Linked DNA regions of Drosophila melanogaster. The protein of the gene in region 1 interacts with the protein of each later gene in a pairwise test. Each region holds a gene or a part of one and is shown on either strand. Other genes may lie near its edges.

The links.
Region 2: the proteins of Tsen54 (region 1) and Gdap1 interact in a two-hybrid assay, tested with the Drosophila melanogaster proteins (one large-scale study listed by BioGRID).

Annotation. Positions count from the first base shown.
Region 1 is NT_037436.4:12,198,751-12,214,487, reverse strand, and holds Tsen54 (tRNA splicing endonuclease subunit 54), read left to right. Parts: upstream 1-8,465; 5' UTR 8,466-8,482; coding exon 8,483-8,544; intron 8,545-8,596; coding exon 8,597-8,712; intron 8,713-8,774; coding exon 8,775-8,962; intron 8,963-9,021; coding exon 9,022-9,807; 3' UTR 9,808-9,845; intron 9,846-10,081; 3' UTR 10,082-10,365; downstream 10,366-15,737. Other genes in the region: app (approximated), read left to right, coding at 437-548, 615-769, 1,013-1,134, 1,191-1,395, 1,721-2,857; Ak1 (adenylate kinase 1), read left to right, coding at 10,767-10,769, 12,626-12,709, 12,992-13,114, 13,399-13,776, 13,850-13,951; CG11529 (uncharacterized protein), read right to left, coding at 15,718-15,737.
Region 2 is NT_037436.4:5,139,958-5,156,247, reverse strand, and holds Gdap1 (Gdap1), read right to left. Parts: upstream 14,296-16,290; 5' UTR 13,944-14,295; coding exon 13,821-13,943; intron 13,729-13,820; exon of another isoform or gene 13,468-13,728; intron 13,176-13,467; coding exon 12,983-13,175; intron 12,925-12,982; coding exon 12,751-12,924; intron 12,686-12,750; coding exon 12,192-12,685; 3' UTR 12,141-12,191; coding exon of another isoform or gene 12,127-12,140; 3' UTR 11,931-12,126; downstream 1-11,930. Other genes in the region: Srp54k (signal recognition particle 54k), read right to left, coding at 1,791-2,399, 2,485-3,402; Gen (XPG-like endonuclease), read left to right, coding at 3,947-4,104, 4,172-4,478, 4,544-4,833, 4,902-5,069, 5,125-6,382; AlaRS-m (Alanyl-tRNA synthetase, mitochondrial), read right to left, coding at 6,493-6,895, 6,950-7,170, 7,233-7,518, 7,577-7,733, 7,792-8,786, 8,842-9,126, 9,187-9,390, 9,445-9,590 and 2 more; Fitm (Fat storage inducing transmembrane protein), read left to right, coding at 10,351-11,053, 11,113-11,852; Dhrs4 (Dehydrogenase/reductase 4), read left to right, coding at 14,698-14,942, 15,006-15,408, 15,471-15,776; CHMP2B (charged multivesicular body protein 2b), read right to left, coding at 15,865-16,290.

The DNA.
Region 1 (15,737 bases):
AATAAAATAAATCATAATTCTCTCCACTTACTGAAAGGGTGTAAATTACTCGGTCTGCTAGAACTCAAAGTCTCTGCCAGTTAGTGTTGCTGTCATGGCTTTGCCATCGCCCCACTTCATTTACTGGGGCTCCGGCGTAATTTAAACCCCCGGAGGAGAGAAAGTACGGACACAATCGCATCTGACGGCTTGAAGGTCGACTCGAGCCTTTTGGGGATTTGGTTCACTGTTCGCGGCTCCAAAGAAGGGGTTTGTTGGCCACGAGGATGGGTGCTGGAAATTAAGGCATTTCTCGGTCGTAATTTTGGTAATGCCACACATCTCGTGAAAATGCAATTAACCTCATTATGTTTGCCAGCTCGAAACGGAATATCTTACCAACTTTATTTCGCCTGTAGTGTGTGTTTATAAACCATTTTAAATGCTCTCTTTGCAGGTGGGAAACTGCGTGGGCAAGCGGAATTATCGGTTCTTTTATTTGTTTCTAGTCTCATTGGCATTTTTAGCTGTATTTATATTCTCGTGCTCTGTGACGCATTTAGTTTTATGTGAGTACAACGGAATAGCAATCCATATGCGATATGAATGATATGATTTGTTTATACCACCGGCAGTGATGAAGAAGGAGCACGAGGTCTTTAATGTAATCAAGGCGGCGCCCTTCACTGTGATTGTTGTGTTCATTTGCTTCTTCTCGATATGGTCGGTGATCGGCCTGGCCGGCTTCCATACCTATCTGACGACTAGCGATCAGACAACCAACGAGGATGTAAGTATACAGAAACAAATATATTATATATTGGTAATTAAATCAGCCACAAGCTTCCTCTTTGAAAAGAAATGATTATGAATTATGAAAGTATACACATTCTAAAGCATTATTATTCGAATTCTTTCCTAGGAAATTTTTAAAATTATCCAGTGTTTACACACATGAATTGTGTATTACTTTCGTACTTTCGGTATACTTGAAAATGACCTTTACACAATATAAAACTGCTCTTTTCAACAGCTCAAGGGATCCTTCTCCTCCAAAGGCGGTCCACGCACCCAAAATCCCTATTCGCGGGGTAACATTTGCCTGAACTGCTGTCACATCCTGTGCGGACCCATGACGCCCTCGCTGATCGATAGGTAAGTGACCAGTTGGCAGAGTTCCAGACCATTATGCTAATTGGATTAACCGGCAGACGCGGCATCGCCACCGACGAGTTCATCCAGCAGATGCAGCACCAGTCGAGTCCGCGGCACGCACTGAGCGATGTGCTGAGTGCCTCGCACATGGTCACCACCTCGCAGCCCATGATGGGTGGTTTAGGTGGTGGTGGCATCGGTGGTGCCGGCGGCGGGATCAGCATTGGTGGAGCGGAGCTAAAGCCCCGATTCTACGACGAGGTAAGCGGCCAATCCAGCGGCCACATTGAGTCAATCCAAGAGCACCCTTTCACCACCGAAATCTAAAAATATCTAAATGTCTGAGCACACTGCTTGCTTGATATCCTTTATATATTTATATATATATATCAAATCCAATCAAATCAAAACTCTCGTACGATGAACTCTTTTGTGCACATCATTTTGACGATCTGTAATTCAAATTTTTTTCTTTTTGTGTTCTATGCAATGTTCTTTTTGGTAATCTACTACTACCTACTACTACTACTCGTATCATACACCACAATCGACACAATCACACCACGAATACGACCACGATAACCAGTCCAATCCCTCCTCCTCGACACTGGAGGGCAACGGAGGTGCCATCAATGGCCATGGGAATGGCCATGGCAACGGCTTCGATCATCCGCCGCCCAGTTACGATCTTGTCCAAAACGGTAAGTCCCGCAAGCATCACCAGCAGCGCTGCTCCCTGCAAACCCTGCTGCCGGCCAGTGCCCAGCAGCAGTTCAAGGCCAGCAAACACAAACACAAGCAACTGAAGCAGCACCTGGTGGCCGCCGAGTTGCAGCAACATGAGGGCGGTCCAGGACCGGGTCCCAATTCGCCCTCGCTTCTGCGCTCGCCGGCTACGTCCTCCTCCTACCGGTTGAACCTCAAGCGTTCGCTGCACCTGCCGCTGACACCGTCGTACGACGATGTCCGCCACTCGCCGCTCCCGCTGCTGCATCACCACGTTCATGCCCAGCAGACCACAGCCATTGGCACGGTGGCAGCAGCAGCAGCGGCGGTGGCATCCGGCGCCAGCGGCACCAATACCGGTACCGGCACTGGTACGGGTGGTTCCTCCTCCTCCGCCACCACCACCGCACCCACTTCGGTGTCCGTGTCGTTGGCCACGGCACCACCGCCGCTGGCGCCACGACGCCCGTCGACGCTGCAGCTGCAGGCCAGCGGAGCAATCTCCGCCAGCAACAGCACTCTGACCACCATACACACTACGGCGCCGCAAGCGCCGGCGCCCACGGACTTCAAATACTATTCGCCGCAACGCAGCACCGACTCCAATCTGATGAGGAACTATCCGTTCCCGAAGGCGGCACGCGGAATGCGACGTCAGTCGACCATGTCGGTGGACTCGCAAAAGGTTAATATAGCCGGCTATCAGCCGCTGCCGATGCGTAAACCGTACAAGCACCAGGAGGTGATGTTCGAACTAAAGTCGCCGACCAACCGGCTGACGATTCGCGAGTGCGACTTTGGCGGTGGCGGTGAACCCTGCGATGACGATCAGTCGATCAAGGACAGCCAGATCTTTCGTGTTAGTAAACGAAATCTTTATATGAATCACCGGTCGCCGTGGAAGGAGCGCGACCGCTACTCCAATCTCTATGAGTATTCGTTCAACATCGATCTCAACTCGATCATCGAGGATGCGGCGGGCAGTGACTCGTCATAGTACGCAGCAGCAGTCCGCTGCTCCGCCGCCCTGGGCCACGGTCACGTCCATCGCATCGGTGGGCTGGTCCGTCTCCTGGTCATCCTCCTCGATCGGTTGTTGGGCGCTGTACATAAGGCCGGGCCCTGGCCAGCCCGATTCCTAATGCTTCCACGCTTTTGCTAAGGCGCCACATCGGGTCCAGTTTTCCGGAATGTGCCCCACTTATTTTGGGGCAACTCTGTTTAGCTTTAGACTCGAGAGCAGCTTTTCGATTATGGCTATAACTAGGAATTCGTTTAGGATTTAATATAAGGGCTTGACTAGGCATTGATTAAGTTTTTTTTGAATAGTTTGCAATGTACATATATTTTAATCAAGGCTGCAAGCCATTTGTTGACCGAACTATTTTGAAACGGTTCGGGTTTATTTCAAATTCGGACTGTGATGGATTTTATTTAAGAAACTAATTCTATAATGAAACTGGCTTATTTATTTACACAATAAGATTCTAATCAAAACCGGATAACCCTATAATTTTGCCCAAAAGTCGCATTTTTTTCACCATCTATTTACCATTTATCAATGTGATTTCTTTGATTTCGATTTGCAAGCAAATATTTTGCTCAACTGAGTGTTGAAAACTTGGAGCCAAAGCAACGGAGCGAATAAATTTAAAAGTTTGCAGCCTTGATTTTAACTTTGAGGGAATCTATCACAGTCTGATTGTGGCACATTTGTGAGACTCACTTGGCTTCCAGGATGCGCATAGTTGTTAGTGCAAATGTAACCGCTACCCTTTTGCAGCCTGAAAATCCGCATCTGTATCCGTATCCGTATACTCGTATTCGAATCTGCATTTGTGTGTTTGCACTCCCTCTTTTTGTAGAAGTCGAACTTGTATTTGATTTGTGTTTAATGTTTGAAACCACCAACCCTTGCTGTAGACTTTCCCCCCGTTCCACCACCAGTTCCAGTTCCACTTCCAGACCCCCCGAAAAACTTGGTTCATAGAAACTTTTGCGTTTATATAGCACCTGCTTCCCAGGCTAGGTGCGTCGGATCCCTCCTGCTGCAAGATGCGTTTGCAATAGGGGGCGACTCGGCGCCAGGGGCCGCTAAATGCCACCCGTGTATGTATGTATCCACCTTGGTCTACGTCCCAGCGCCGCCACCTCCAATAGTGAAGACACCAACTAACCAACTAACCAACTAACCAAGCAACCAAACAACCTACTAACCAGCAAACCAAAGATCCAAAAAACCAGTAAACTAGTAAACCAGTAAACCAACATCCCCAGCCAAGCATGTTTGACTAAGTTCGCCTGGTAAAGTGCTTAATGATTTTGCTTTTTGTTGGGAACCTTGTGAGATTTTTGTAAATGATCGCAGTCACTTGGGCCTTCAGTTGAATTCTCGATTAATTTGGAAGGTTTCAGCCGAACATAGATTATGAACGAAAACTTTAACTTGCAATTAGTGAAATTAGCAAAACAAAACAAAAAGAACCGAAAAGAATATGAAAACAAAAACTTAATGAGCCAAAATAACTGCCATTTATCGAAGCAACATTTTGTTAGGACTTTTTTCATTTTTACAATGAAATTTAAAATTAATTGTAAACGTAAACTAAACGACGGAATTCAATAAGAATTTGATAAACTATGTATCAGTGCTAAGGGAACGTCGAACATTTTAAAACTAATAGTGGAAAACGAGAAATTGTTGCAAACGAATTGAATATCAAATATCGAATATGTCTTAATCTTGAATATTGGAACATTGCCAAGTGACTGCTGCAAATAATTAGCAATAAACAAAATACCGAACAATGCGAAATGTTGAAATTGAAATGAAAATGAAAACGAATATTGAAATTGCAAATATTTATACCTAGTTCGTAATAGTTGAAAGACAAACATTTTTCGGGCACTAAATTGCTGGACTTTTGTGGAGGTGAAAATCGTAGGTATACATATATGTAAGCCAGCTTAAAGAAGTAATTGCGGCTCAAATGCCGCCTACAAGGCTTTAAATCTTGAGCATTAACAATATTATGGGTTCCTTTTATAATTAATTGCAAGTGTAATACGCATTAGCCAGATAATTGAAGTTGTAGCTAGTTATATATATTATATATATACATATTATATATATATGAAAGCGAGTGTTAACTGATGAAAACGTAAATTTATACATGTACTTATATACACACATATGTATGGTTAAATGTTGGGCAATAAAGTGTATGTAGCGTATGTTTAATGTGGATCGAAAGCAGATCCATAACTATCTATAAGTACTAATCCCGATGTTGAAGCGTATCGCATCCTTTCAGGAAGATCGTGAGACCTACTTGCGATCCTGAACGATTATTGGAACCATATATGCATATGTAGCCCCCGGCGAATCACTCACACACACATAGACACGAAATGAAGGCTTCAGATTTTCCACTCCTCTACATTTTCCATTATCCATTATCCTTTAGGCTCCCCGATTTTGATTTTGACCGGCTAAAGCTCGCACACATCCACCAAGAAAAAACAAAGCTATAACCCTCCTCTTGATTTATCGCACACTAATGTCAAACTCTTTCTGTATCTTTCAACTTGACTCTGGGATTAACTAACAAAAAAACAAACAATACTTACAATTTGTGTCTGTAACTATTTAATGACCCAAACTAAAACTGCAATTGAGCGAAAGTTGTCGAGGGCCGCTTAAGACTAGAGTAAAAATGCATTTTAAGCCTTAATTGGGTGAGTTCTCTCCTAATGCAAACACATTTGATTGTTGTATGTACCGAAATAAAAATAACCAAACACCGAAATTTAATCAAAGCTTTAGAGTTTCGTTTGAAATTAGCTACACCATAACCATACATATATCTTTGAGTTTGATTTTCTGCTGCTTAAATCGCCACTGCGAAATAGCTGATATTCTATTATGTTGCTCATGTCGATGATTTGTTTCCACCATTAACCCAAAATGCATCACCATTCAATATAAAACAACCATCCGAACACAAAACAAAAGTCAAAGTTTAATATGGTATTTAGCAGTAATTTATTGGCAAGCTACCTACTAATTGCACTCACAACATTTTGAAAGCATGCTTTAAATTGTTCAATTGGCACCGACTTAACCACTGAATCCATTATCCATTAATTAGCGTCCAGTTTCCGTCTTTATTTGCGCATACTCTACGGCGTTTGTCATTCAATTTTCAGTTATCATTGTTGTTTATTCGGTTTTAGGAGCTTATCAACTGATGAGTTTCGAATTAAGTTGATTTCCAACCAGTTCCGAGGCAGTTTCTCCTCAGATTGCAATTACACGTGTATTAGTTCGATTGAACACACAAAACAAAACCCGCCCCCGCATTTGATTGAATTACGATTTTAATTTGGCGCCCTTTTCAGCATTTATGATTATTTGCATATTTAAATAGTTTTATTTTGCCACAGCTAAACGATAGCGAACCTAAACAAATCATCAATGACCACTAGCAAAAGAGCAATAAAACCACTAGATACAAATGCTCCAAATTGAAATTTGAATTTTAAATTAGTTGGCAAATTCGTTGTAATGAGCATTTCAATTATATACGTGCATTAATTAAACATACAATAGAACGAAATTAAATATCAATTACTAATCACGCGCTTTCGTTGCGCCCTTCTCCCCTTTTTTTTTCCGTCTCGTTTCCAGGTAATTCCAATAGTCTAGCTCAGCTGGTGGACAACGAGATACCGCTGGTCCAAATGGACATTCCGGCTTATACCCACCAAACGGCCACCCAGGCGCGTCAGTACCGCCATCGTCATCACAAACAGCGCCAGATATGCAATGGCGGCACTGTTAGCTATGAGAATCAGTTGGCCAACGCCAGCAGCGAGGATGAGCTGGATGATCCAGATGTTGTGGTCGTGGGCAGTCCCGAAGTGGTGGCTGCCGTGGCAGCCATAGCCTCCAATAAGGCAAGAGAAATGCGCAACCGCAGCGGAAGCTATAGCAATCTCTTCGATGCTGACTTCGAGGCGGCACTGGTCAACTCCTCATTGGCGGATAACCATGTCAGAGGTGAAGGAGCAAGCAGTTCCGGAAAGCCCTCTGCGGGCGCAGCTCTATTAGCGGCTGCCATCAGTGGAAAAACGGAGAACATGTATAGCAATGTGTTGCCAGTGGACAATGATACGGATCCGGCCGATTCCACGCTGCATGTATACTCCAATATCATCGATGAACGCAAGCAGCAGGAACAGGCAAACAATGTACTGTCCTCCACTCTGCTCTGCGACGATCTCGACCTGGACGATCCGGTTAGTGCTTCGTGTCATGTGAAAAGAAAGTCCCTGGGCGATGGAGCCGAGCAGGTGAAGTCGGCGGAGAGATTGAGAATGCTGCACGACAACACGATGATAGACACGGCCTTGGATTTGGACAGCTTGGATGGCTCCAGCATGGGCAACAACTCACAGTCGTGCCTGGTGAAGTCGGGCAAACCGAATGCCACTTCCGTGACCACAAACGTGGCCATAGTCTAAGCGGTCCTCTTTGTCCTGTACATAAGTGTAGATATTCATGTCAAGGGGGAGAGTATTGTTAAGTTTTCCCTACTTTTAACTGAATCGATTTTCATTTACTATGTGTGGTGGGGGGAGGGGGTGCGGTGATTCGATGGAGAGGGGGGATATAATGAAACGACCTATCAGCAGGCAGATAAAAAATATTACCTTAAAGCGTTACGCATTTGAAACAGAAAGAGAAATATATCTATGCATATATGTAGATGATAATAACTAAAGCATTTACGGATATATGTATGCATATGTATAATACAAATGTGGTGAACAATGTTAACAATTTGAGGGCATTAACAAAGGACAAATTAAAGGAGCAACCAATACTATGGAGAAACTGTTTATACAATACACGACGCATACATATAAATGAGTTATAGGTAACATATACATAATGATAAACAATATACAATGTACGGTTAGTTATAGTGTATAATTTTTGTATTTAAGTTTTTACAAACAGCAGAAACAGAAAGGGGTTCGTTTCGCAGTTCAGAGTTTAAAAAACATTTGCGGTGTAGCCAGAAACCGAAGAAACAAAGAAAAGAAAGCCAACTAGAAATATCCTGCAATATACGTGAAGTTGAAATTGTCGAGTCGATGAGAAAATGTTAACAGCATAAGAGTTAAAAGCAACAATGTGGTGTATTAAATGTTCATAAATCTACCAATAAGTGTATTTTCAAGGTGTAAAATGTTATATGACATCAATTAAAACGAGTTCGAGATTTCGACAAGCTCCATTGCATGAGAGGGCAAGAAATGTTAAGCGTATGTTATGCGAAACTAACAAAACTACAATTATACAAAGAATAAAGATTTATAAATAGAGAATAATGGTGTATTGCTTTTTGGGAAAGGCCATCTAGGTGTTGAATTGAATAAGAATGATGCAAACTGAAACTTAGAAATTAGGGTTTCAGAAATTTTTTCTTAAGTTAAAGTTACTCCAAATTTCAAAAACGATATAAGCCCGCCAAAAGTAATCGATTCATCGGTAACAATTGGTAAGCTTGTTAATGATGGTATATTTGAACGGATTGGCCTTGGTCACACTGACATGGACACCAAAACACAAGATTCAGAATATGTGGAAATTCATCCAAAAAATAGCTATTTAAGGTAATTCCTGACTGAGATATGAATACCTTAGCTTAAAATCAATTAATTTCAGTGCCCAGGAGCTCATTGCGCATCGTCACACTGAATTCGAACCTCCGAGTGGAGGTCTAAAGCGTACTAAAAATGAGGGAACTGCAGCGGAAGTTGAGGAGCTTAAACGAGCGCAGGGTTCGAATTTGTTATAAATATTTAACACCAATATATATATTATTATGTTTATAACATTTTAGAGTATTTGCGTGCTCAATTGTCAGTGCCTCGAATAGAAAGACTCGGAGGAAGGGCACTTGCCATTTGGAACGAAGAGCAACAAGTGGCAGAAGTCAAACGCAAAGATGGTAAATTTGAAAATTTCGGATACAGTGAGCAGGGAAAGCTCTATTTGGAGTACTATGAAGCTATGTTCCTACTAGAAGTTGTGAGTTATAAAATCGCCCTTTAAATTCAATCGAGATATATGGAACATGTACTTTTCAGGGACGTTTACAACTGGAGTACTGTGGTTTAGTAGTTTCAATTGAGCAAGCATATGTGCTCCTCCTCGGCGAGTTGGAAAGCGAAAGGTACACCAACTACCTAGTTTACTCGGCTTTATCCCGATCTGGCTATATAGTAGTGAAACATGTGCCTCCTAAGGAAATTCCACAAGAAGTTACGAGTGCAGATTGTATTTGGGCACTGCTGAAGGAAAAAGTGGGAAATCTGCCAGTACCAGATCATATCAAAACCTCACCCATTTATCCTATCGCGGAAAAGCGTATGGAAGATTTAAAGGAACTTATAACATCTCAAAAGGCAGAAGATCCTAATATTGTTGTAGATCCCATAGATTTGAAATTCGGACAACGAAAACGTATGGCTGTGGAAAAACCAATCGAAGAACCTGCTAGTAAAAAAGAAAAATTCTCCACAACGGGCCGAAGTCTCGTGGATCAACTAAAAGGCGAATTTGCATATGCCAAATTCGAAGAGATCTTTGAAAAGTTCGATTTGGTGCAACTTGAAAGCCAAGATTATACCAAAGACGAATTAGATACGCCCTCTGCTTTGAAGATAATCTTTGATTTACATCTGCACAATAGGGGTTTCAAAAAAAGTGCACCCAACGCACCAAACTTTAATGTAATTATACTTCCATCGCAGGTGGCGTTTCCCACCCACGACAAAATCTCCAAGATTAAACATCTTCTCACCGCACCACTGCTCGTCATATCCGTAAGCGAATCCAAACAGATACAGGCCTTTCTGTACTATATTAGTTGATGATTGCCCATACAGCGGATGTGCCACCTCAATAAATTGTACGTGTTAGTATTTTAAAAGCTCGAATAGTTTATTTTATTTACCAGACATTGTTTATAAAGAATGCCGGCACGAGAATGCCCAAAAGAACAAGCAAAACTAATCAAAATATCCAAATATCCGAAAAAATGTATTTATTTTGATATTCAGGCATTGTTTCTGAACAATTTGTGTTCAGCTACGGTATTCTGTTAGTTATACCCTACATTAAAAATCTAATACAAATATGTTACAGGAGGATGTTCCTATGGTGAACTCATGACCAGAAAATTCAAATGAAGTATATCCCCATCGCATTGGTCAAAATGGAGGTAATCAGGAGGAGACGGGAGACAGACACAATGTTAAAGGAAATCCAATTAAATATGGATAAGATCATAAATCGTCACAATAGCACTTTAAAGAGTTGGATTCATTACTGTTCCAACACAAGCTGAAACAAAATTAGCACAAATATACATAGATTCAATGAGTTAAGAAGATAAGCCAGGATCATAAGAATCAAATTTGAATTTGATCATGACAATACGAATTTCCTACGACAATACACTCAAAATTTGAATTGACCAATTCGGGTTATACTCGAAAACGGCCAAAATAAAAGCACTGTTAATCGGAAAGCTTTGTGCGAAAAGCTCGCGTGTCTGTGCGCAGTGAAACCGTTAGCCGAATCGGATCGAATCGAAACGGAATCGAAAGCCTTTTCATTCACTCAGTCACTCTCAACTCACGCAGCACAGAGGGTGGGTGGAAAACAGTCGGGCGGAGCATTCGAGAATCTGGGCGAGAATCGACCGACCAAGTGGCGCTAAGGGAAGGCTAGTAAGGCATCCGGCTAACAAACTACCGAATATTTCGCGATTTCTTCAGCGAAAGGCCCGCAGCAGCGACGTGTATATCTAGTATACATCATCATCATCATGGTGAGTGTTTTCAGTGCGCGGTTGCTGTGATTTGTGTTTTCGTTTCTGCTTAATGCCCAATTTATTTTTATTTGTTTGTAACCCACACACACACACCCCAAATGTTTCACTCTGATTTAAAACGGCCTTGCACTCCAACGGGGGAAAGTGAAGCAATGGCTTTAAAATTGAGGATTCAGAGCGGTCAAATCGGCCTTGAGCCACTTGCATTGCACTTGACCTTGCAGCCCAGCGTTGCAATTAAGAAAGTTTCGGGGCCACAAGCTTACTCAGCTTTTTTTTTTTTTTTTGAAGCTGAGAATGGGGTATGAGATGAGAATGAGAATGAGAAGCTCCCGGTCAGCTGTTCCATGTTTACGGTTTTGTTATAAATAGAGCCTCTCCTAATTCCAACGATTACGAATCTGTGAAATTCCCTACCCGAACAAAACAAATTAGCAACTGAAAGAAACAAACAAACAAAAAATAAATACCAAAATTTCACATTCCAAGCTCGAACAAACGAATTTTGACGTCAAAATCCCGATTTGAATAAATTTATGACCAGTTGCTCGGCACACAGGAATTTCTGGCGGGGCTTGATTCATTAGCAAGTCCCCAGCCTCGTCGCCAAAAAAAGCAGTTTAAATGTGTTTATTGGCGCTACTCGAACTAGACAGTCATGCCGGTTTTTAGTCTTGGTCGCGTCGCATTATTAAAGTGTCAAAACAAAGCAAAAAAATTAAAAAGAACACCATATAAAAGATCTAGAGGCGGGTTCCATAAAAATTCCTCTAAGTTTGCTGGATAGTTTTTTAGTTCCGTTTGAACGGAAAGCATGTGTGCAGTTCTTCCTAGAAAATTATAGTTATAGTTAGTTCTAAAAATAAACAAAGGAAAATCATCCTAAAAATACATATATCGAAATCAAAAGCCGAGTTTCGTAAAAATCCACGTGAGTTAGCTAGCTGAATAGTTTGAATAGAAAGCACTTGTGATGTCGCTGCTATAATTTTCTATAATTACCCTTAAGTATTTGGGAACCTCGACACTTGTTAAATCACCATGTACAGGTTAGTTTTGAATTATTAACAACGGCGAATCCTTGGAAATGACATTGAAAAGTCACTGAACTACACAATCTATATAAATGTGAAGAGAAATTACGTAAATGAGCTTGAAAATCATAAATTCTCACACGCAACAATTTAAATGCGTAGAAATGTGCCATAAGAAAAGTCGGTGAAAAACAACGTCTGCGTTTTTATGCTCTGAGGAAAATCGAAAAATCTATAGGTGCCAGGCAGCAAACAACCTGGGCATTATTAAGCTGTCCGAATCCGAATTCATTCATTTTCTATATTGTATTTTCATTTTTTTTTTTACCCCATTTTTCGACGGGTGCGACAATGCGGAACAGGCGAAAATCGGCGGGGGCCTTCAAAATACAAAATACTATATCAAAAGCTGATCTGCACACACGCTATATCTATCTATCTATATGGTCACGGGCCGACAACGGGAGCGATGGCATTGTTTATACTAATCTAGATTTTTGTTGATGAGATCAAGCCATTATCAATACCATTTGTGTGAATGGAGCAGAGGTGCCAATTGCCCCAAATTACCCCAAATTGAAATGATATGTGTGACGCGGGGGTTTTCTGTACAAGATCAATGTCAGGGGCCAATGAAATATGTGTAACCTATATATATATAAAATCCCATTTTTGTAGTAAGAACACTATTTCGTGCTGGCAAAGTGCCCAAACTACTAATAACTACATATTAACCTATGCCAAAATACATCTCGGATGTAGTTCAAACTATAAGTCGGAGATATCTAACCATCCTCACCAACTATCTCGATTGTGTAGTTATTTATGTGTCACCAAAGGGTTATGAAGAAGGAGGCCGAGGAGAAGCTCAAAGCCGAGGAGCTCCGTAGGGCACGTGCCGCCGTAAGTAGCCCAACTGGATCGAATCCGAGTCAACGGGCACTATATCCTATTTACTAGGATTAGTTGATGTATGGCATGTTAACTGTCTGGCCGCCGCTTCACCAAAAAACAAACGAATTTCGATCCGAGAATATTGAAAAAAATAAACCCTCTTTTGAAACCCTCTATCCATGCCCCTTAATCCAACTAAGCTTGCGTACGTGTTACCACTAAACCAGCTAATTGTAGATGTTCCTATGCCTCGGTGTTGTGTGCCTGCTAACTCAAATCTTGTCCTTACAGGCTGATATACCCATCATCTGGATCTTGGGTGGACCCGGGTGCGGCAAGGGCACTCAGTGCGCCAAAATCGTGGAAAAATACGGATTCACACATCTGAGCAGCGGCGATTTGCTGCGCAATGAGGTAATTTGGGCGGAAATACTGGAATAGTCGGTGCTATCTGTTGCTTGCAGATGGCAAGGGTGTATGGCGATTTTGGAAAATGATTATATTTGGATCGCAAAATTCATTGCTATTCATTGTTATTACCCAAAGTATTGCGATGCGAACTTAAACTATTGAGATAATTATACGTTTCCATTGAAAGAATCATTTAATATCTATATGGTTACTTTCAATTCAAATTAGCTTAGAATTTCAATTGTTAATAATTATTTATTAGTTTCTAATATTCCTCTATCTTGTAGGTGGCTTCTGGATCGGACAAGGGTCGTCAGCTGCAGGCTGTGATGGCCAGCGGTGGCCTGGTGTCCAACGACGAGGTGCTGTCCCTGCTGAACGACGCCATCACGCGGGCCAAGGGTAGCTCGAAGGGATTCCTCATCGATGGATATCCGCGTCAGAAGAACCAGGGCATTGAGTTCGAGGCGCGCATTGCACCCGCCGATCTGGCGCTGTACTTTGAGTGCTCCGAGGACACGATGGTGCAGCGCATCATGGCACGTGCCGCTGCCTCGGCGGTGAAACGGGACGATGACAACGAGAAGACCATTAGGGCACGCCTCCTGACCTTCAAGCAGAACACCAATGCAATTTTGGAACTTTATGAGCCCAAAACCCTTACGGTTAGTATCGCATATGCATTTTCCATGTGCAAAAGTCCCCCAATAATTAGCAACTCTTTCGTTTTAATCACAGATCAATGCCGAGCGTGACGTGGACGACATCTTTCTGGAAGTCGTCCAGGCCATTGACTGTGTGCTGAAGAAGAAGCAGCAGAATGCCGCCGCCCAGTGCTAGTAGAATGCTAATCCATTAGGAAACCGGTACCAAAGTCAACATTTCTAGTGCACTTTTTAGCGCGAAACACACAATCTCAGAGCTGAGCACAAATGAATGCGAAACACCAAATAAATTAGTCTAAATCTATGTTATGTTATGTTATGGCATTATCCTTTAATTCGTGACAAGCAATAATTGATCTAGTGCTTTAAATAAATTTACACATACAAATGGAATGTTTCGAATCAACTTTAGGCACCCTCCACTCGTTTTGCCTGAGAGATCATAAAATGTTAATAATTAATTGAGCAATGACTGTAATTTGATAGTTTGCATTTTCTCCAAGTATTCTATAAAAATGCTAATCTTGACTAGGCACGATTTAGGGCTTTAATTTAGCTAATTATTCATAAACTAATTGAATGATCCAAGGGCGCGTGTGTTTGAATGGAAAACATTTGAAAACGATTGCCTTGAATGTTGTGATTGCCACGTGATTTATTATCGAAAACTATAAGACTACATTTTGTTCACTGAACCAGTTTGCTATCAGCGTTTAAATGTGGAAGTTCCAGTAGAACAAATTTATCTAAAATACCTTGCTAAATATCTCATTTACATGGACATTTTCGTTGTGAACGAATACACTGATTAATTGCTGCTCTACAAGGAGTTTTATAGACACATATAAGATTTCGTCCATTTACTTATTTATGGTTAAATGGCGAAGACGCTTTTTATAGAGGCACTTTCCAAATTCTTTGCATATATGTATCTTTGCTACACATTAACAAGTTGCACCCGATAAACTGCTCTAGTCACAATAAATTATATGGCTTTGCTAGCGAATTTAAATCAGATCAAGTCATTGGATTAATTGATCAACTGCCAGAAATCCGTTGGGGATTTCTTGCTGAGCCCAGTTAAATCAGAAAAGTATTTTGGGCCATAAGATGATATCAATTTGTGATAAATCTGCCATCGAAAGGAATGTTCTGCCAACGAAACGAGTGCGTCACGAACATCGATTTGAACGCAAAATAGAACTGACACAATTTGAACTGAAATGAAAATCTCCAATCTCGAAACTGGTAACTGGTAGTAATAGAATCGTCCATCTATCACGGAACTAAATACCAGACGTCATCGTGTGAATGTGGAGCTCCCCATCCAACTGGAGTGGCTTCGAGTTCTTGACGTTCGGATCGAGTCGAGTCGAGTGTAAAGTCAATAGCGAAATATTATGTAAAGTAAGTGGTTTTCGGAAGATGGCCCATAAGCAATTATGGGGTTCGTAAATTATGTAAAGATCTCTGGAGGACCGCGTGTACGAAAACCCCAAGCTAACAATGTGAATAGAAAACGAAACAGTTAAACCGCTCAGAAATTATCACTTTTATCGATCGAGATCTGAGATCCCTACGAAATGCGGGAATTCCAATTCCACAAAAATCAGCATGACTAAACAGACAGAAAAGCCGAATCAGGTTTCAGTTTTTTGTGGCTACTATATGTGTGATTTTTGTTTTTTGTTTTTATTTTTTCATATTCAATTTCTTTAGATTTTGCAACATTTGTTGCTTTCTTTTTGTTTGCGAGTCCGCTATCACGCTTACAACTAAAATAAATATAGATGTTTTTAAATAGTTAACGCTATAAACAATGTGCAGATTTCAATGAGAGCTACGATATCACAAGATTGGAGAATTCCTTTAAAAAACATAAAGCTATAAAGTTTCAGTCAGTGGTTTGTTGGGATGATTCCATCCGCAAAATGAGGCATCCTAAATGAGATTGTTATCAC
Region 2 (16,290 bases), 7.1 Mb from region 1:
TTTCGCTTAAGACTAGTTGAACAACAAAAACAAAAAAAAAAACACAGAAAGTAAATGACGAAAAAAAAAATTAAATCTAATTGTAAGTAAAAAAGAAATGAGAATAGATCAGTATAGAACCGAACCGGAAGCGGAAGCGAAAGAATCAAGCAAGAAGCTAAGCGAGGGCAGGCTGAGAAATTCCTGCCCCGACTTGAAAGCTACACAGAAAGCATTAAAACCGAAAATAGCAAAAGATTTAACTGTGGACGTTGAGTTGAAGTGTTGAAGAACACATAAAAGAAAAAAACACGAGGAAAACGTCTCTTTGGTAAGAAAAAGGAAAACCTAAAGAGCAAATGCTGTCATCCAAAAACCAAAAAAAAAAAACACAAAAAAATGAAACTGAACTTTTTCTGAATCAATAAAAGACAAATTGATTTTCTGTAAGAAAACAAAAACTAAATGCATTTTTTATTCCACGGTTTGGGAATTTAGTATGTAGAATATTCGATTCGCTTTTTTCAGCAAATCTTACGCTGGGGTTGGAAATCTAAGGAAATATCCTTCTGGAGAAGGGTTATCCTGCCAAGGATGCCAAAGGCATTCTGCCTCTGCGCTCATAAAATAATTTGGACTCTGTGTGGGGGCGTGTATCTGTATCTTTTCATCCCACCCACCCATAAATAAAGTCCTTTTGTGGGGGGCGCAAGAAATATGAAAGGACGCAGCACACATACACATGTATAATCTCCTAGCGAGAATGTGAGCCTATGTGTGCGTGGGGAAGCCGCCAGGATGAGGCCGAAAACTTTGACAGCGGTTCGTCCTGCTGATTTTGCTGCTATCCTGTTCGTTTGACTTGTTTGATGGTTTTATGAGTGTCAGAACCTGACAGCTTAATAGACATTTTTATGGCAGGCAATCGCCATTTCATTGTTATTGCAAAAGGCAGAGTGGCTGGGATTATGGAGTTTTCAGCACGCAAGGGAGAGAGAAAGTGACAACCCCAAAATCCCAGACGAAGCACAACTTCCGGGACAGAATCGAGGGATGCTGTCAGCCCCACCAGAAAAGCTGAGCCACCAAACACCACACGCAGAAAAAAGTGTTGTCAAAACTTAAAAAGAGAAATTGAATATAAATTTCCAAAGATTTGCAAAATAATCCACTATGATAACCCATTATGATTCAGACAAATAAAAATAAATTTCTGTCAGGTTTTTTTTTTTGAGTGTACAACCCCACTAGGCATACATTTGAGTATGTGTACAGACCCTCCCCCAAAAACAGCATTAACAATTTGCCCGCCAGCCTGTTTGTTTATTTTGGTTTCCTTGCTGCGTTGGCATCCTTTCGATCTTTCTGGGCACCTGTTCGCAACTTGTTTTTTGTTTTAGTTGTATGTGTTAGGTCAACAGGGTGACTGGATTTCTGCTTTTCGTTGCCCGAGATTAAACCCAATAAACACAACCAATTTAAAGCCAAGTTCATATATTAATTATTTATTGTTTATATCTAGTTCAATTGCCTTACTGGTATTCTGATAGGCATGCTAATTCCATTAGTTCGTGTACAGAAAACTGTTTAAACTATAAAAACTGACACTGTGGCTGCCAAGCCGTACAAAAACCGAATTTGTTAACTGTTTGCACATCTATATGGGCTTTATAGGCTATATACGCTATATTCGCTTCCACAACGCGTATCAATTTTTGTGGCCTTGGACAAATGGAAACAAATGGCTAACAAATTACGAACTACGCGAAAACAAAATCATATAAAAATCGTTAAATTTACACGCCACCTGCTCACTTGCCACCAAAACCGCTCATCAGGTTCCCCAGGCCACCCAAACCACCCGCAGCTCCTTGCTGCAGTTGCCTCATCATATTTTGGATACCACCAACGCCGCCCATCTGTTGCAGCATCCGGGGATCGATCATCTTCGCTATCTGCTGGTTGAGCTTGGCCATCTGTGTTGGATTCACATTCTTGGTCATGTCGCCCTGCTTGAACAGTCCCTTAACGCCGCCCATCTTCTTTACTACCGCCGAAAATTTCGTATAGTGTGCAATCAGTTCCTTGACCTCGCGCTCCATGACACCAGCTCCCTGGGCCACACGAACGCAGCGGTTTGGCTGCTTGCTAAAGAGCTTTGCTCCGTCGCGATTGTCCAGTTCATTATCCGACATACTGTCCATCATCGTCATCATACGCTTAACGCGCGCCATCGACTCCTGTTCGCCGCCCTTGGTCATAAAGTCCTGCGAGAAACCGGGTATCATGTTCATGAACTGGGAGAAGGGGCCCATCTTCATGATGTTCTGGAACTGCTCGTACATGTCGCGGATGGTGAAATGACCGTGCTTGATCTTTTCTAACAGCTCATCGTTTCCGTCTAGCTTCAGCTCGTTTACCTGTGCAAAATGAGTTTATATTCAGTACGTGTTTTCAATTGTATTGTAGTGCGGTATAATTTTAAGCTCGTGTGGCATGTCTCACCTTATCTATCAGTCCTTCGATGTCACCCATTCCAAGCAGTTTGCTCACGAAGGGTTTCGTCTTGAAGGGCTCCAGATCGTCGATGTGCTCGCCCGTACCGATGAAGATGATGGGCGACTGTGTGGCTGCCACTGCGGACAGAGCTCCGCCTCCCTTGGCGTGGCCATCCAACTTGGTTATGATCACCGAACCGATGTCCACCTTGTCTTTGAAGGCTTTCGCTTGAGCCTCGCAAGCCTGTCCGATGGTGGCGTCCATCACGAAGATTATGTTGTCGGGACTGACGGCATTGGACACTGCCAACATCTCCTCGAACAGTGATTCCTCCTGCTTGTGCCGACCCGAGGTGTCCACAATGATCATCTCGAAACCCTCGCGTTTGAACATATCCACACCGTCCTGGGCAATGACCACGGGATCGATTTCCGTGTAGCTGCCGTAGAACGGAATGCGCGCCTTGGTGGCGTTCTGCTTGACCTGATCGTAGGCACCAGCACGGAAGGTATCCGCGCACACGAGACACGACTTCCAGTTGCGCTTCTGGTAGTGATAGGCCAGCTTGGTACAGGTGGTGGTCTTACCGGAGCCCTGCAGACCCACAAACATGACCACATTGGCCTTGCCCTTGATGGGTTGGTAGGGTTTCACGCCGGGATCGACCAGTTTGACGAGCTCCTTGAACACAGCCGATTGGATCATTCGCCTCTTGTTCAGGCCACCGGCCATCTCATCGAAATCAATAACGGCACGCACATTCTCGCGCAGCTGCTTAACCAGTCGGATATTCACATCAGCCTCCAGGAGCGCTGCGCAGATCTCCTTCAGCATGGAATTCAGTGCCTCCTCATTGATTACGGTCGCCTTGCTGAGCGAGTGCAGCGCCGTTGTTATCTTGCGACCCAAATCCGCGAGAACCATCTTGCCGGTGGTGGTTGTGTGTGGTTTGGCGTACGGACGACTGGCAGCTTCTGAATTTTGTCGGGCCTACTCGCAAAGGGGCAGCTTCAATTCAATATTTTATTTCGACTTTCTTTTGGCTGACACGACACGTCGACGTGGAAGAAGAAGAGACTGCTGACCACTGGCCATTCGCAGCGGTCGCTTGTGCAGCTGTCAAAACAAAGCCCGCTATCGGTTATCGAGCATGCTTCGCAGTGACTGGCGGAAGTCGCAGTGCTGTCAAATGTAGCTAGAGACAAGCTCAAAAAAAGCTAAAAACGAAATGTGTTCTTAAAATCGAATAAGATGACATTTATATGTATAATATTTGTTATTGAAAATAGCATCATGTATTATTGTTAAAAAAGTTATCATTGCCAATTATTGTCACAACTTTGCACTTGGCTGCTTTTGAATATAGCTTCAAGTAGCTAGAAAGTAACTGATTGGGCAACTCTGACGAAGAAGCGATTGTTTAAATTTGTTGCGAATTTCTCGCGGGGTTTTTGTTTAGCTTATTTAAATGGGCGTCAAGGAATTATGGGGTGTTTTAACGCCCCATTGTGAACGTAAACCCATTAATGAACTGCGGGGAAAGAAAGTGGCCATCGACCTGGCCGGCTGGGTGTGCGAATCTCTTAATGTTGTGGACTACTTTGTGCATCCAAGGCATCATTTAAAGTAGGTTTAAAAAATTCTTAATACCTTATATTCTTTTAAAATATTAATATTTACGCTTTACCAACAGGAACCTCTTCTTTCGCACTTGCTACTTGATTTGGGAGCAAGTTACTCCGGTTTTCGTTTTGGAGGGAGTTGCTCCAAAACTCAAGAGCCAGGTGATAGCCAAAAGGAATGAGCTCCAGTTTCGGGGAGTGAAGCCCAAGAATTCGCCTGAGTGCACCCAAAGTCAGCCGTCCAAGGGCGACAAGGGACGCAGCCGGTTCAACCATGTTCTCAAGCAGTGCGAAACGCTGCTGCTCTCCATGGGAATCCAGTGCGTCCAAGGTCCCGGCGAGGCGGAGGCCTACTGTGCCTTTCTCAACAAGCATGGCGTACGTATATCAACTACATCCTCACAAGAACTCTGTACCAAATCCGATTATATTCCTGTCCGCAGCTAGTGGACGGCGTCATTAGCCAGGACTCGGATTGCTTTGCCTATGGAGCCGTTCGTGTCTATCGCAACTTCTCCGTTTCCACCCAAGGAGCCCAGGCAGCCGCCGGCGGAGCTGTGGACATCTACGACATGCGGGAGATCACATCCCGAATGGACTTTGGCCAACAGAAGATCATTGTGATGGCTTTGCTCTGCGGCTGTGATTATTGTCCTGATGGCATAGGTGGCATTGGCAAGGATGGCGTCCTAAAGCTGTTCAACAAGTACAAGGAGACTGAGATTTTGGATAGGTAGTCTACTACATTGTTACATATATTATATTTTTAAAGCTAATAAGCTTTGATTATTATTTCTGCAGAATGAGAAGCTGGCGTGGTGAAACCGATAAATACAATGCCTTGGAGATCCGAGTGGACGACAAATCCATCTGCAGCAATTGTGGCCACATTGGCAAGACCCAGAGCCACACAAAAAGTGGCTGCAGTGTGTGTCGCACACACAAAGGCTGCGATGAGAGTCTCTGGAAGTGAGCTATTTCCTAAAACTAATATAAACATTTGTTTATTAAACTCTTCCCTTAGAGAACAACGACTATCCATTAAGTCCGAGTTGACTTTGAGGCGGAAAGCCCTATTATCTCCTGACTTTCCCAACGAAGAGATCATTGCCGAGTTTCTCAGCGAACCCGACACCATTCCCAATCTAAATCTCAACTGGCGGCAACCAAATCTTGTCAAATTCATCAAACAAATCGGACATCTCTTGCAGTGGCCAGAAATATACTGCTTCCAAAAGTTCTTTCCCATACTCACACGCTGGCAGGTGCAGCAATCGAAGCAGGAGAAGATACTTATCCAGCCACACGAGATTATCAAAAAGCGAACTGTGAAGGGTGTGCCCAGCTTAGAATTGCGCTGGCACGATCCCAGTGGCATCTTCAAGGGTCTTATTCCGGACAAGCAGATTGCGGAGTACGAAGCGGAGCATCCCAAGGGAATCGAGGAACTTTACTACACCATTGAGCCATTGGACATGCTGGAGACAGCGTATCCCGATTTAGTAGCGGCCTTTTTGAAGTCGAAGGAGAAGCCCGCCAAGAAAACCACGCGAAAGAAGAAAACCGCATCTGAAGAGGAGAATAAGGAAAACGAGCCGAATTCGAAACCAAAGCGAGTGGTCAGAAAGATAAAGGCTCAGCCTGAAGAGAACCAGCCATTACTGCACCAATTCCTAGGGCGCAAGAAGGAAGGTACTCCGGTCAAGGCTCCCGCTCCGCAACGTCAGCAATGCTCCACCCCCATCACCAAGTTCCTGCCCTCCGATCTGGAAAGCGATTGCGATGCCGAAGAGTTCGATATGTCGGACATAGTTAAAGGCATTATCTCGAATCCGAATGCCAAGCCAGCACTGACCAACCACGATGGTCACCAGCTTCATTACGAACCCATGGCGGAAGATTTGAGCTTACGTCTGGCGCAGATGAGTCTAGGAAATGTGAATGAATCGCCCAAAGTGGAAACGAAAAGAGATCTCTCTCAAGTGGATCAACTACCGCAGAGTAAGCGATTCTCCTTGGAGGACAGTTTTGATCTGCTGGTCAAGGGAGATCTGCAGAAGCTGGCCAGGACGCCAGTGGAGCGATTCAAGATGCAGCATCGCATCAGCGAAAAGATTCCAACGCCAGTGAAGCCCTTGGATAACATAAGTTACTTCTTCAATCAAAGTTCCGATAATGCGGATGTCTTTGAAGAGTTGATGAACTCCAGCTTGGTGCCCCAGGATCAAGAGGATAACGCAGAAGATGAGGAGGAGGATGACCTGGTAGTGATTAGTGATTAAAGATTCTGAAATTCCTTAAAACTTCGCCATTTACTCGCTCCTCACATGAGCAATTATTCAAAGGGCAAGCTTACAGCTAGCACATTTTGGAGGGTAATCACAACTTATACCTATAGATAAAGCTTAGCGTATGCATGTGCCTTGGACATTGCCTGCTCCAACTGTTCCTCGAACAGATTGCTCACCCGTCGACCCTTCATGTTGCACACGGCCTGCGGATTTTGGCCCTTGGGCGCGGCTATTTGTCCATTAAAGGTGTCGGCAAAGGATTGCAGCCAGGCGGAAGCGTTGAATTTCTCCGTGATACACTTTTCTGGTACACAACAGCGAGCCTTGACCACGCTATCACACACGCTGATTACGAGGATGGGCCGATCCGGGCACAGCTTGGTGGCTCGTTGCAAAGGAATCTCCTCCACGAGCGCGGAACTGGTGATGTAGTGCAGAATGAAGGGGTGTGTGTCCAACGGCTTCTCCTGCAGCAGCGTGCGCATCTCTACGTCCACAAATTCTCTGAAAATGTAGAGTTTAGAAATGGAGCACATTACTTTAATAAGTTAAACTTACTTTAAGGTTGTGCGCGATGAATCTTTTATTCTCTTCAGCATCTCGGTGATGCGTTCCAGCGTGTCCATCTTAAAAGCGTATGGCAGTTTAATGTCCGTGTGCAACATGTTGTGCCGAATCGTCTGCAGTTCCGCCTCCGTAGCGTTTGTGAGTTTGTCAGTTTGGAACTGCTTCTCGAGGAGATCAACGCGGTGTCGCAGCAGGGCAGCCGTTTTCAGCACCTATTTGGAACAGAGTAAGAAGATTAAATGACTAGTCTAAGGCGATATATAAGTCCACTCACATTTTCCGCCGCCTGGCCAGCAACGGCGGTAAATGCGAATCTCGCACGATTGGTTTGCTTGAGATTCACGATGCAGAAGCACGAAAGCTCACTGGTGTTGGTTGCATGCGTTCCGCAGCACAGTTCCTTGGAGCTCAGCTGCAGTTCAGGACTCTCCACGTTGACTAGACGCAATCCCTGCTCAGGATAAACCTCGCCGGGCACCATTGTGATGTCATTCTGCTCCAGAACTTCAGCTGCACTCAGCAATTGAACTTCAACCGGCGCAGCAGAGCAGATAACGCGACTATTGCAAAGGATTGTAAGTTAAATTCATAAAAATTTCTAATATCAGGACGACCCACTTGATCAGATCCTCGATGAGCTGTACATCGGTCTTTTGAATGCGCTTGCCCAGGAGTCCCAGCTCCAGCTTGCACTGATCGCTGCTCACAGAACTGGAGACCTGGTAGGTGACCTTCTTGAAAAGCGATCGGATGGCGGCGTTTAGTAGATGCGTGGCTAGAATTATAGGGATTGATTGTAATCGGTTCTAGTAACTCTAACATATTCATCTCACCTGTGTGATGGCACGTGTTGAGCTGTCTCTGCTGCGCATCCACCTGCAGCTCCACCTCATCCCCAATGGCCAGCTGAAAGGCGTCGGTGGGACTGGATAACTTGCAGATGTGAACTACGCAATCGTTGAGATGCTTTACACCGATTACGTCTAGTGAATGAGGATGGTCTGGCTGTTGGTGATTGCTCACAAGGATCTTTCCGCCATCCGATTGTTGACCTCCGGATTCATAGTAGAAATTGCTGCCAGCGGTCACAATGGAAATAAGGTCGGTGAAGGGTTGCTGTATGCGACTGCCTTGGGTTCGTGACACTTCCGCATCGTTGAGGAGCATTCCGAGGACTCGAGTCTTTAGTGGGGGTATTTGGTATGAATCACTCTCCTTGTCGAAGGAGTAGGTGTACTTGTGACTGTTGTCGGTGGGTGTCAGACGCTTCGTTAGCATCGCCTGAGCTTCAGCAATACGCTGCTCCGTGGCCAGATCGCAGAGTGATCCTCCAGCAGTCTCCCTTTGGTTGCCCTTGGCTTTGAGCTTCGCCAGACTGACCTCCGCCCTGTAGCGCTCCAAATCACAGTTCATGTTCTCCAATTCAGCCAGCTTGAGGAAACTCTCCTCGGTCAGGCCGTAGGTATCGGTCAGCTTGTAAAGGAAGTCCCCTGGTATTGTGTTATTGGAAAACTTGCAGCGCTGCATCTGCAACTCTCGATAGGCGGGCACGAATCCCGGGCACTCCATCAGATCGATGTCATCCAGATTGGGAAACTCCATAAGCACCTCTGCAAACGCTTTGGAAGAACTCTCTCTTAGATTCTTGTAGACCTCCTGCTCGTGGCAGATCAAGTCGATAACAGCCTGCTGCTTAGCCGCCATCTCTGGATAGGCTTCACCAAGTGTCTCCACCACAATAGGAACTAGCTGGGTCAGCAATTTGTCGTGGGCAAACACATGCTCCGAAATGTTGAGAGCTTTGCGCAGCACGCGACGCAATTTCTGACTGAAATAGATATTGGATTATATGCGAAATTTGCAGGGCATGAGTACAAGCTTACTTTTGATCTGGAAGCATGCCGTCGGCCAAACAGGCGGTCACCATGCGTGCATGATCGGCTAGTATCCTATAGCTGGTGTCGAGTACTGCTGCATTTCCACCATCCGGAAAGCTGCCACTGTAAACCGGAGTCTTGGCCGCCTGCTGGATGCCATCAAATATCGGCGTGAACAAGTCCGTATCATAGTTAGAAGACTTATTCTGAAGCACAGCCGTTAGCCGCTCAAAACCCATGCCGGTGTCCACATGATGAGCGGGCAATTGAGAGATGCTGCCATCGGCATGACTATCAATGCATAAAGAACCTTAGGCTAGGAACACAATCCACTTGAAGGCAAATCCTCACCGATTGTACTGTATAAAGACAAGATTCCAAAGCTCTGTGAGATCGGAACGACCTGCGTTCACCAACTTGGCTCGCTGCTCCACGCTGCCCAAATCCGGGCGATGATCTATGTGGATTTCGGTGCAGGGACCACACGGCCCTGTAGCGCCCATTTCCCAAAAATTGTCGGCGCAGCCAAAGGGCAGTATTCGCGAGGCGGGAAAGCTGCAAAGCACGAGTACTTAAGAAACCAACTTCTCGTTATGTAACAAGCTTTACCCCAGGCTCCTCCAGATCTCGAAACACTCCAGATCGGCTGGAATGCCCAGCACCTTGTCGCCAGCAAAGTATGTGACGTATAGACGACCTGGATCAATGTTGTAGGGACCACGGAGCAGCTCCAGGGCCATTGCACACGCCTCCCGCTGAAAACCCAAAGGTCTCGTGAGAAAGAAGTGATAGAGGGTAAGCTGAACGCACCCACCTTGAAGTAATCCCCAAAGGACCAGTTGCCCAGCATCTCAAAGAACGTGTGATGATAGCCATCCGTGCCCACCACGGAGAGATCATTGTGCTTTCCCCCAACGCGGACGCACTTCTGGGAGTTGACAACCCGCTTGTGTGGCGCCGCTGCTGTGCCCAGGAACACCGACTTGAACTACAGCGAAGGCCATCGTATAAACAAGCGAACAATAGCTTTTAATGGGCCTGTTACCTCACCTGATTCATGCCCGCGTTAACGAAAGCCACAGTGGGATCGCAAAAGGGCACCACCGGGCTGGAGCGAACGAACTTGTGGCCATGATTGACGGTGAAATGATCCAAAAAGGTTTTACGAATCTCGCGCGCTGTCAGCACGCGCTGCAGCTGCTTGGCCGAGTTGTACATGCCGCAGTTCAATTAAAACCGCACCGGCAATTAAAAATGCTCGAGATAAATCTCAGGCCCGAACAGCTGATCACATGGCTTGCCATTCGCCACGAAACCCGCTCTTTATAAAAATTCCAATCAGAGTTGCCAGTCACAGTGAAGCGTGCTCACCAGCTGCAGCTGTTCTATTTTTTACAGGCGCAACACGTACATTTGGGCCAAAATAAGAATTGAAAAATTACAACTGAGAACAACGCAGTGGGTGCTCTAAGCCCGGCGAAAAAGCAAACAAATTGACCAGTTGATCTGATTTGAATGCGCTGGCACTGTTTGGTCACAGGTAAGTGCGTCTGGCAACCGTTGAACTTTGACACGCACGATTCCTTCGCTTTCACTTTCGCTTTTCACTCGCAGCATTACCAAAAACGGCAGCAAACAACGCAGTTTTCAAGTGACACACTTTGGACCCGAGCAACAGCTCCAGCTATGGCCACCAAGCGACGTCCGCTGCGTCCAAATTTGGGCGGTACTGCGGGAAGTCCCTCCTCCTCCGGTTCCAACATGAATTTCAGGCCCGGAGGACCTGACATCACCAGGTCGGAAGCGCGCGGAACGAGGCCCACGGCCGCACCCACTAGCATCCGCGAGATCCTGGTCATGGGCGTCATCCATTTGTGCAAGAAGACCATATTCTTCAATACGGACCTCAAAGTAGCCTTGTATCTGGGCAGTCTGTTTGTGATCTCCGTAATCGGGGACTTTGTGCCCTTCCCCAAGACGTACTTCGCCCGATCGGACAACCTGTTCAACCAGTACTTCGTGAAGATCGGCTGGGGCTGGACGCTGCTCTTCGTGGTGCCCTTCCTGGTGCTCTCGGCCTATACGATTACGTGTGGCGACCACAAACGGATGCTGCGACACCATTTCCCGCGCATCGTCATAGCCACCTTCTTCTGGTTCTTCTGGACCAAGCTGTTTAACGTCGTGGAGAACTCCTACGGACGCTGCACCACAAAGGGTGGGTATACAAGCATCGTGTAATGAATTTAATAATAACTATCGCGTGTGCGCTTCCAGGTTATGCGACCAAATCGAGCTGTTTGAAGGCTGGTCATCTGTGGAAGGGCTTTGATATATCCGGACACGCCTTCATCCTGATCCACTCCAGCCTGGTGCTGATCGAGGAGGCGCGTCCCATCATCCGCTGGGAGACCATCAAGGAGCACATCCGCAACGAGCGACACAATCGCAGCACAGCCGAGAACTCGGGCACGAATCCGCTGAGAACGCTGAACGAGGAGCAAATGCGCAGCCTGCAGTTCTTGTACAAACGCCTGACGCCGATCATTCGCACCCTATTCATCGGCATGGCGGCCCTGCAGCTGCTGTGGGACATCATGTTGGTGGGCACCATGCTGTACTATCACCGCATGATCGAGAAGGTGATCAGCGGCATTATTGCCATACTCACCTGGTACTTCACCTATCGCTTCTGGTATCCCACGCCCGGTCTGCTGCCTGAGGCGCCTGGCAACGGAAGCTTCAGCTATCAGCGAGAGATACCCACCTTCCCCTTCAAGCGACCCTCGCATTTATCCACGGGTGCGGCCACCACGAGCTCGGGATCCAACAGTTCGAGGACCAACCTCAATGGCAAGGCGGCAACGACGGGAGTGCCAAGGGATCAGCAGATACCCACGTTTATGGGAATGCCGCTGTTCACCAGCCCCAAGGCGGCCAGTGCAGCCGCCAATTTGCTGATGTCCGATCAGCAGAAACGGGAAAGGGATCGCGAGCAGCAGACGCTGGAGAGCTGAGAGCTGAACCCTGGTCAAGTCAACAGAGGGGAGAGCAGCCATCAAGCATAGAAGGAATTGATAGTTAGGTGACGGATTGGAATTTATACCAAATTTTTGTATATTCAGCAACGATGATATGAAACGATGATGATATTACTAAGCAAGCAGCCGAGGCTGGCACTGGATCGCGCGCTCTTCTCCTCATCCTCCTCCACCGCCGGATTCTTACCATGACACCCCAAGCATCCTTCATCAGCAGTGCGTAGCTTTAAGCGTTCTTATGTTCGTGTGTTTATATGTGCCCAACTTTAACAGTAAAAGGATTTGTTAACAAAGTCTGCTGTCCCGCTGCTCCGCTCACTTGTGCGCGAAGGCGGCGAACATGGCCATACCCAGGAAGCCGGCGCCCGCTCCTAGCTTATAGTTGCCCGGCGTTCGGGTCCACATTTCGCGCAGTATGGCAAAGTTGCTCGGCTGCAGGCGGTGGAAGGACTCGCGCTGCCGGAAGCGCAAGAAGTATGCCTCCACCTGCGGCAGCTTTCCGAAGGTCCAGAACTGATTCTCGAATCCCAGCTGATACAGTCGATGCAGCAGCAATCCCAGCGAGATATCCGCCACGCTCAGTTCGTCGCCGGTCAGCCACTCAACGCGTGGCGCCTGGGCGGTTAGCTCCTGCTCCACATAGAGCAGAAAGTGCCGCACGGCATCCAGAACCTTCTGGAATTCCTCGCGGGACGAGGCCAGCTCGTGGCGGCGCAACTGTATGTCCAGCTTGTGCTGCAGCGCTGCTTTTTTGGTCGCCTGTTCGTCCACCGAGTGGCGCAGCAGATCCAGCACCTTTTCATTGTTTTCTGCGGGGCGTACGAGTGTTGACTGTTGAGTTATGTTGTTGAGTTCACAGGTGCGAGTAACTTACTCAGGCAGGACTGGCGCACGGGTCCGATGAAGGGCGCCTTGGGCACCAGCTTCAGATCGTCGTGTATGAAGGAGCCCAGGCTGAGTGTTCCCACTGGAAGGCGGGCCATTGCCTGCTCGAAGATCAGCATTTGATCGAATTCCTTGGAGTTGTGCGCTGGCTTCAGCGATCGATCTAAATGATGAAGTTGATAAGTCAAGTTACTATGGGCGGGTAGCTAACTGGGAATTACCACCGCGAAATTTGCTCTCCACATAGTTGATGATGTGCGTCGAGCTGGGAATGACGAGGGCGCCATCCTGGAGCACTGGCACATCGCCCTTGGGATTGAGGTTTAGGAACCAATTGGAGTACTGCTCGCCATTGCACAGGTCCACCACATAGGGAAAGAAGTCGATCTTCTTCTCGTAGAAGACCATAAGAACCTGCGATGATAAGTGGGTTCACTTTAACTGAGCTATGATATTAGCAGATTTATAACTCAGATATTAAGTATATATGTGCATTTGCTTAAATGTATCTAAAGACGAACCCAAAGATGCAATATTCCGCTACTAATTACTCGCTTCATTAACCAAAACAGATATTTTTAGACACGATCTGGCATTAAATTAAATCATTTCGGTTTAGTTATTATATTACGTTCTTTTGGAGCAGATTCCTCCACACATAAGTTTGTTTATTTTGTTTTTTCACTCCGCTTCAATCCACTTCATTAGCACCTGGAGCAGCCAGCAGGTAAATATGCTGTCATATCTGTACAGAATGGAAAACTAGAGAACTCCAATAGCGCTAGCCCTACTACATTTCCGGCCCGCCACCCGCTAGGTCATGCTCCATTGCATCCGAGTGGCCGAGAGATTTAATAAAGATCTTGGGTGGAGAACCTTCGACGCGGGCCACCCCATTATTACATCGAAAAAAACAAAAGAAATACGAGAAAAAAAGTAAATAAAACGATGATTTCATTTGGAAATGATTAGTTTTGTAATTTCGCGGCATTAGCGGCTGGATCTGTTGGGCAAATACCTTTTCAATGATCACATGATTGAAAGCAAGCGGTTACTAACTTTTTGCGCATGGAAGTTGTACGGATGGAAGAAGAGCACTGGCTTATTGGCCGGCAGATCGGGAGCCTTGAAGTCCTGCAAGGTGGGCGGCAGAGCTTCGATTTCCTTTGTCTGCTCGCTCATCTTGTTCTATGTGTGTTTCACTTAATATTCTTTGGCTTAGTGTATCTTTAGTTTGCTGATTAGTTTCACTAGCATGGGCGCCTTTTTTCGTATCACATGCCCCGCCGACGGTTGCGAAAAGTTGCTAACTAACAAAGCCGTAAGCGCGTGCCGGATTGACTTGGAAAACCGGAGACTCCACTTGCGTGCTGATTCCGCCGACGACTGCGTCTATAATGAAGTCAGATCGTACGGATCGCTGCGATCCCCTATTAATTTGCACTTTCGGCTCGTATGTACATATATATAGTACATATATATGTTTCGGATCCGAAAACAGTCCATTATGTCAAGCGATTCTCCAACTTTTTGCGGTTTGTTTGTCATGCGTATTTATCTTTGTTTATATTATTACGAAACGCAGCGTTTATCTTGCTGTGGGAAGATTTTCTTTTCAAGAATTCTTATCTGCCCATGACTGAGTGGCCCTAAGTGGAGTATTACAACATATTGACTAGGGATAAATGATATTTTTAGCCCTAATTTTAGTTATTATGTAGGTTAATCTGGTTTTTATTACTAAGCCACTGCAGAGATAACTTTAATAAATTTTCAAATTTCGCGCCACCGGCGAATGAGCTTTTTCATTCACTGTGAATGGCAAACCGCTGAAAAGAAGAACTAGTAAACAGTTTGGAGATTCGTAGTTAAAATAGGGAAAATCAATTATTAGGCAACGAATCTCAAGATCCTTCGCAAAAGTCCTACTTCAAAAATGTTGCATCTGAGCAAACAACTGGTGGTCAGGGCGCCCAAGATCCGTCTGAATGCCAGCGCTGTGAGTGGAAGTGGTCAAAGTTCAAGTTTCGATCAAAACAGCAACAATTACAGCCGAAAACTTGTTGGCCCTAATCTCAATCAATGCCACAAACGCTTGTCCAGCAGTAGTCAAAGTTCGACAGCCGGCACGATGAAGCGTTTGGCAGGAAAAGTAGCCGTGGTCACCGCCTCCACCGATGGGTAAGCAGCTCAATAGAAACTGGAGAGGATCGCACCCACTAAATTCTGATTAATCCCTCCCAGCATTGGTTTCGCGATTGCCAAAAGGCTGGCCGAAGATGGCGCCGCAGTGGTCATCAGCAGTCGCAAGCAAAAGAATGTGGACTCTGCTCTGGCGGAGCTGCGCAAACTGAACTTGAATGTCCACGGTCTGAAGTGCCATGTCAGCGAACCCGAGGATCGCAAACAGCTCTTTGAGGAGACCATTAGCAAGTTTGGCAAGCTCAACATTCTGGTCAGCAATGCAGCCACCAATCCTGCGGTCGGCGGTGTCCTCGAGTGCGATGAGAAGGTGTGGGACAAGATCTTCGATGTGAACGTGAAGAGTTCCTATCTGCTGGCCAAGGAGGCACTGCCTCTCCTGCGCCAGCAAAAGAACTCCAGCATCGTTTTCGTCTCCTCCATTGCTGGCTATGATGCCTTTGAGGTTAGTCGCCTTATCTGCGGTTCAGTTGTTCAATGCTTATCTCCGTTATCTTAATCGCATAGCTACTGGGAGCCTATTCCGTCAGCAAGACCGCGCTGATTGGCTTGACCAAGGCAGCCGCCAAGGATCTGGCGCCCGAGGGCATTCGCGTCAACTGCCTGGCTCCAGGAGTCATCAGGACAAAGTTCTCGAAAGCACTGTACGAGAATGAGTCGGCGAATGAAGCGGCTTTGAGCAAAATACCCATGGGTCGTCTGGGCACCAGTGAGGAGATGGCTGGCGTGGTCTCCTTTTTGGTCTCCGAGGATGCGGGCTACATTACCGGAGAGTCCATTGTGGCTGGCGGTGGAATGACAGCTCGTTTGTAAGCGGTGTACATAAATATAATTTCTTACGGGCTATGGATAACAGCGATGTTCACAGTAGTTACAAAATAGAATGAAAAACAGGTAAGGACTAAGAGGAGCGCAGCTTGGCCAGTTGATCGGCAATGTCCTTCTCGGTGCGCTTGCCACTCGTCTCAAAGTCTGAGGATCCCGTGGCCGGGATGCTGGACATCTTGCCGGAGATCTCGATGCCGATCTCGTCGAGCACCTTGTTGACTACGGCATTGGACTCCTCCTCGTCGCCGGACTCATTCAGCATGTCGTCCAGCGTGTCGTTGATCATCTCGTCGGTCATTTCCATCTTCATGTTGGCCGCCTGGAACTGGCGCACTGTTTCCCCGATGGCCTCCGGTCGCATCACCTTATTCATTTCACCCATCGTCTTGGCCGTGGTGCCCATGGCTTCGCTTAGGGCGATATTGGCGCCCATGTTCTTGTTCTGGTAGCCAATGGACTGAATCTTGCCCGCTGCTGCGTATGTGCGTGATTTCTGCTT